Tribolium castaneum: one gene and its partner. The protein of the gene in region 1 interacts with the protein of each later gene in a pairwise test. Links are inferred from orthologs where the notes say so. Each region holds a gene or a part of one and is shown on either strand. Other genes may lie near its edges.

Region 1 (3,632 bases):
TAACATACCTCCAGCTGGAGCCCATCGGTTTCGTGTTCCTCATATTTTTCGCCCTGCTTATGGTGATCCAGTTCTTCGCAATGATGATCCACCGCTTCGGCACCTTCTCCCAAATCATCACAAAAACACAATTAGACTTCGATCTGTGCAGCAAACCAATCGACGAAATGACTGTGGACGAACTCAGGTCCCGCGACCCTATAAAAATAGTCGCAGATTTACAAAAACTAAAAGGTATAAACAACGAATACGAGGACCAAACGGAAGTTCCGGTCGAAATGCGAAAAACAGTAAGTAATTTGGCGCAAACGAGCGGTGGTGGTGAGAACAAGCCCATATTTTATTTGGATGAAGCGTTCCAAAGGCGAGTCACTCAAATAGGGAGCACTTCAAGCAACAGTAAGTCACCAATTTGTGGGCGAAACCATCACTGATTTATTTTTTAGACCCGAGCATTAGCGCCTTTAGGAAGAAAAGCCTTGCTTACGTCCAACAAAGAATGAGCATAGCCCCAAATCGGGTGTCACAAGCCCGGCCTAGTGTGCAGTTACGGTACCCCAATGGAAAAGCCAACGAAAATTTCGTTTTTGACGAAAACGGGTCAGACGTGGAGGCATAAAATTGAAATTATTTTTTACTCTTAAATTTATTAAATAAAAGGTTTACAAAGTGCCACCGTGTGGTCATACCCGCAAAACACCTTCGACGCGTAGCCCCCTAGCGCCACTTTAAACGGGAAGTTCTGGTCGTTGGCGAACCCCAGCCCCAGACAGCCCCTCATGTTGCGCCCCCACGCGTAAACATCCCCCAGACTCGTCACAGCCATGGCGTAGCTCAACCCACAAGCCACTTGTACCACCCTGTTGTTAGGTTGAAAGTCGTTCCTGCCGAACAAAACCTCGGGGAGTTTCCTCGGGCGGGAGGTTTGCTCGGCCTTGGGCCCCCCGAGGACTAGACCGTAGCCCCACACGAAAACCTCCCCGTGTTCGTTCAAAGCGAGGCAAAATGAGCCCCCGGCTGCCACATCCACGACTTTGCCCACTTTCAGGTGCTTGAGGTGGACTGGGTTGCTCACTTGTTGCTCGTTGTTTATTGTGGGGATCTGGTCGTACTCAGCGTTGCCCCAGCCGAAGACTTCGCCCCTGTCATTAAGGGCCAACGCGAAGTCGGATCGCGACGATATTTTGACTATTTTTTCGGACTCAATCTCGCCCGTGATTCTCGTGAAGGCACTTGTGTTGTCAAACGTGCCGAGGCCCGTTTGGCCGTCAGCCCCCCACCCGCAGGAATACACAGCCCCGTCGTCAGTTACGGCCAAAGTGTGGTCTTGACCACATTCAATGTCGGTTACTTTCTTACTGTCTATATCAGGAATGTGGTTTATGTAATTACTTAAAAAATAATTTTCGTCTTGGATGATTTCGCGCCCGCACTGGCCGTAGGCGTTATTGCCTAGGAGGAAGAGTCCCTCGTCTGTTAACACCACGAGATGTGCACGCCCCGCCGCTAACTTTCGTATCCGAGTTTTGGTTGGGTTTTTTAAAGGTAGTTTAATGGCCTGCGGGAAGTAAATAATCTCCAAAGGGTGCCCTTGACGCACTTCATGTCTTCCAATTTGTGAGTCGGTATTAAGGCCCGTTCCGTACAATTTATCTTCAGATTCGGTATCAACACCAAACGCGGTGAAACCGAAGCCACAAGCGGCAGTAGTCACCTGCAACTTTCATTAAAATATTGAAACTTGCGGGAACAACGTACTGGGAATTTTTCAGCAAAACCTAGCCGCTTTGGGATGTCTACTGTCTCCCGATGCATGACATTTTCGTTGCGTCTCAAATACGGAATACCTAAGGCCCCCGACATAAGGTTGCCCCAAACAAACACTCGTTTGTACGACTTTTTACTAGTACCGTAGTCAAAGACAGGCAGTGATTTTGCCTCGTCGCGATCGATGGGGTATTTGCGTTTTACAGACATGAAGCGTCCACGGGGGCATTTTTCGAGATAAATCACCCGTTTCAAGTGATTTAACATGTTTTTGTTGTTATTAACCCCACTTTTTTTTACTTGCGTGAAGTCAGCTGAAGATCGCGCAATGTTGGTGGATTCTATGGTTGGTGGCTATACCGACATCCTTGACGAATTGTCGCCAATCGGAGAAACGCAAACCCATGTGTATTTCACGAAAAATTTTGATATCTATTCTAATAATCCCAATTTCGACACGGACACACAATACCAGTTAATAATTAAGTCAAATGTGATGATTTGGGCGAAAATTGGCGCAAATTATTGGTGATAACCCAGTAATCAATATTGGCCACATTGCCAACTGACACTTGTCAAAGTGACGTTTCGTGTGTGTGTGTGTGAAGGTTCAATATTTTCGGAATTTTCACGTGCGGATTAATTTTCCGGCCACAGGAAATCTCTAATTACTTGGACGATCGATATTGATGACTATGTTGTGATGTCATTTAGTGACAATGTCCAGTGTGGAAAAACCAAAACCGATTTTGCCTAAGAAAGGACAAATCATCATTGAAGACATCCAGGACTTGGTGTTGTGCAAACCCCGTCTGATCCCCCTTAAGAGTTTCACTTTGGAAAAATTGGAGAAAATGCAACAAGAGGCCCAAAAATCGCAATCCCAGCAGAGTCCCAAAGACGAGTAAAAATGAATTACGGGCCGCTGATTTCGAAAATTTTGCTCTCTTTTATTCTTGCCTCGACGGTCTTGTACCGATATGGGAACTGGTTCAGGCACCACATTGTGGTGACCTTGATTGTGCTTCTTGCTTGGTATTTCAGTTTCTTGATTATTTTCGCGCTTCCGTTGGACGTAATTTCGGTGAGTGACCAATAGTCAGTTTCAGTCAATCACAGATTTGTTCCTAGACGGTTTACCGCCAGTGTAAGGAAGAACATGACACTTTTGACAACGCCACTTCTTCACTGATGCAAAATGTTACAAATAAAAGTATTGAAAAGTGTGAGGAGCCGTGGAGTCGAGTCCCTCATGAGGTTTTTCCGAACTTGTGGCGTACTGTGTATTGGAGCACTCAGTGCTTAACTTGGTATAAGTTTTCACACACAAAATTTCAACTAAAACAATAATTCCAGGCTAGTCATGCCCATGATGCAATCGTACATCAAAGCTGGTGATTTTACAGTCAAAGGCAAATTGAAATCGGCTGTAATCGACAATGCGATTTATTACGGCTCTTATTTGCTAATCTGTGGAGTTCTACTAATTTACTTGGCCCTCCAGCCTGGGATTCACCTCGACTGGTCAAAACTAAAAGCAATTGCTTCGTCAGCTAGCAATACTTGGGGCTTATTCCTCCTAGTTTTGCTGTTCGGATACGCTTTAGTTGAAGTCCCTCGAACTCTGTGGAACAACTCAAACCACAGTTTTGTGCTAACACATTCGTATTTCAAGGCCGCCAAGCTGAGTTCGGACAAGTGCGAGGCCGAGGAAACCGTCGACGATGTCCTCGAGGTTCCATTACTGATTCGTTGAATTTCCATAGTTATTCAATTGTTTTAGTCGCTACAAGCCGTCTCATTGGCCATTAATTCGCGGCATCCATTGCACGCCCACTTGGAGACCATTCTGCAAAAGGTGCCCA
Region 2 (2,837 bases), on another chromosome or scaffold:
ACGGCCTGAAGATGTGCCCAAAATGTACGAAACAGGTCCACTGAAATACCCAAGTCCGGCGGTCGCGAAGGTGAAATTATCGCATCGGGGGCGCGAGCAAGGCGACGCCCCCTTGGCCAAAAGCATGCAAAAACTAGACTTAGAAGACAAGCAGAATTACATCAAGCAAAATATTAAAAACATTAAAGTGAGTAAACAAAAGCGGGAGGAGTCTCCGGACCCGACGAAAGCGCCCCCCGAGTATCAAAAGGGCGTAGTCCCGAGATACCTCAAAGAGACGAAAAAATTGGCCAAGGACGAAAAGTCCGGTGTGTTTGAAGAAAATATTTCCGGTCTGGTTTTATTGCCTGATGATGAGAGGAGAGAGTACTTAAGGGTGGCTCGTGAAAGTGGGTATTTCCCCCAAATTGTGTTTGTTTTATCGTTTTTTTTTTGCAGATTATGCCGCCTTGATTAAGGAATTGAACTCAATGCCTGTCAGTAATGACACCCTCAAGAAGCGAAAACGCAAAATGGAAATAGAGGACGAGTTGAAACGAATCGACGAAGTGATTAAAATTTTCCAAAAACCCAAAGTGTTTGTTAAAGCTGATGCGTGATTGTTTATTTTATTATGTGTACAAAATTCTCTTTAATAAATTCAGTTTGGTTTAGTCTAAATTTGGGCTCGTCAAGTTTGTACCACTGTTCGATGTCGAAGTGGGGGAAGAACAGGCCGATTTCCTTCTTTACCGACTCGGGTGAGTCTGAAATTATTTATTATCGGTGATTTGTTAAAATAAAAATAATCGAACCTGAGCCATGTGTCGCGTTTCTGGTGTCCGAGAGCCCGAATTGGCCCCGAATCGAGTCGGGGGCCTCGAATTGTGTCTTGAATACTTTAGTGGGGCCCATGAGTTGGCGCCACGTTTTGATCGCATCTTCCCGGGCTAGAATATAAAAATCGGACGGGCCACTAGGGGAACCCCCTTAGTTCTGATTTTAGCCAACTGGGCCTTTACCTGGTCATGAACGTAACTAAGCGTTTGTAGAAGAATTTGGTTTTGTGTTCGTGGTAAAACGATTCGGCTTCGTGAAGCTGAATTGTGTGTCTTTTTGATTTGACCACTTTGAAGTTCGAGGTTAGGATTATATTTCGTATTTTTTCAACAGCAAGGGGCTGTTTTATGACGTGAGGTTTCAAAATTGCAAACGTGAGTTCGAGACGGTTCATTGTATCACAACTGTGATACAAAACGCGCGACTTTTGAGGTTATGTAATACCACTAAGGTCACAGGTTTTTACTGATAAAATGATAATGAACCTAATTTTTACACAAAAAAACGTAATTTCGTTTGTTTTACCATTTATAATTCATTTATTTCATTCAAGTGAGTTCAACAAATTTGGGAAACCCCCATAAACGAATCAGGAAAATCACACTAAAAACATAGCCAACATGATGAAAAAAATAACTAGAAAATTCCAAAAATAGAGCTGTCGTCGAAAAAAATTGAGGAAAATAAAAAAAATCACATTTGTTCAATTTAGTCACGTGATCAGTTATTCACACATTTAATTGCGAATTAAATTAATGACGCTTCCGTAAACCTTGTATGTTTTTTAATGAAACGCAAATTGCAAAATTTTAAGATTTTTTATTCCAAAATAAAGCTAATTTTTCGAGAAATTGTTTGCATTATTATTTTCCACAGTCATCAATACCATAACCAACAATAAAAACAAAGGACGGGTTTATATAAGCTTCATTAATTTAATTCACAATTAAATGCGTGATTAACTGGTCACGTGATATCAAATTGCGCCAATTTCATTGGTCTATTCGGTTGTTAACTTTTAAAAATAAATTAAAATTTGATGAAGCTTTTTATAAACCGGCCCTAAAAGTTTTATCCTGTACTTGAAATAAAGGTAATTCAAAGTGTACCTGAAATGCACCTTCAAACCAATGTATCTTTGAGGGGAAGCCCCGAATCTTTATTTTGTTTCTAAACAACTCGAAATTCGCCAATTTTGTTTGAGACACCCTCTATATGAAATACTACATTAGTTTGCACAGCATAAGTTGCTAAGTAGTTGCTGCAAAGTAAGTTATGCATCTCAGTATTCATTTGTTATTGTGTTGCTTTAATAACAACTAACACAAAGTAAGCTTTTTTTGCTCACATCAGTCACACAGATTGTTTTTAAATAAAACCATACAAATTTATTTTAAAAAATTACATGGAAAACGATTAACAGATAGGATTATACTTTATAGTTTTATAAAGTTTCTCTTCATTTTGTTATGTCACCGTTTTGTAGTTTTTTCATTTTGTTATTATATTTTGAATATTTTCTATGATTCTTATTAATTTTACAAAATTTAATAATATTAAATCTAGCTGGCGCCTCGATTTTCAAATATTTTAAAGCTCCGCCTACTATCGCCTGGCAGAACTGATTGAAGTCACGGATACTTGACTACTTTGACACCCCAGCATTTTGCAACAGGTTACCCACTTTTTCATCTCGAATGCAATTTTTTTCGGGTTGTGTGTAAATAAAACCAACAGGAGAAAAATTTTAGATGTTTTAATCTAAACTAAACGTTTAAATGGAATTTTTGTCTTTGTGATGGTTTTTCACGTGTGTCTTTAACAAATATCTTTTGAAAGTCTTATACTCGCAGTCATCGCACTTAAACCACTTAATATCACCCGTTTCGTGTTTCCTTAAGACGTGATCCTTCAAACTCGCCTTAAGTTTAGCCTTATACTCGCATTCCCCGCACTTGTACCACTCGATATCTTTATCATCGGTATGTCTTTGAATCACGTGCAACTTCAAGTGTATT

Evidence for each region. The genes of interacting proteins can lie anywhere in the genome.
Region 2: the proteins of RCC1-like G exchanging factor-like protein (region 1) and nucleoside diphosphate kinase 6 interact in binary tests that used the Homo sapiens proteins (3 or more experiments, as listed by UniProt). The link is inferred for Tribolium castaneum from reciprocal best matches to the Homo sapiens genes RCC1L and NME6.

What each region holds. Positions count from the first base shown.
Region 1 is NC_087395.1:14,163,114-14,166,745, reverse strand, and holds RCC1-like G exchanging factor-like protein, read right to left. Parts: upstream 2,267-3,632; 5' UTR 2,035-2,266; coding exon 1,759-2,034; intron 1,715-1,758; coding exon 650-1,714; 3' UTR 628-649; downstream 1-627. Other genes in the region: Chs2 (chitin synthase 2), read left to right, coding at 1-399, 447-619; BBIP1 (BBSome-interacting protein 1-like), read left to right, coding at 2,487-2,675; LMBR1 domain-containing protein 2 homolog, read left to right, coding at 2,678-2,851, 2,899-3,077, 3,124-3,502, 3,551-3,632. UniProt on the Homo sapiens protein: Guanine nucleotide exchange factor (GEF) for mitochondrial dynamin-related GTPase OPA1. Activates OPA1, by exchanging bound GDP for free GTP, and drives OPA1 and MFN1-dependent mitochondrial fusion. Plays an essential role in mitochondrial ribosome biogenesis.
Region 2 is NC_087399.1:8,509,958-8,512,794, forward strand, and holds nucleoside diphosphate kinase 6, read right to left. Parts: upstream 1,429-2,837; 5' UTR 1,345-1,428; intron 1,285-1,344; 5' UTR 1,214-1,284; coding exon 1,002-1,213; intron 956-1,001; coding exon 795-955; intron 747-794; coding exon 604-746; 3' UTR 600-603; downstream 1-599. Other genes in the region: enkurin domain-containing protein 1, read left to right, coding at 1-389, 439-599; zinc finger protein 142, read right to left, coding at 2,594-2,837. UniProt on the Homo sapiens protein: Major role in the synthesis of nucleoside triphosphates other than ATP. The ATP gamma phosphate is transferred to the NDP beta phosphate via a ping-pong mechanism, using a phosphorylated active-site intermediate. Inhibitor of p53-induced apoptosis.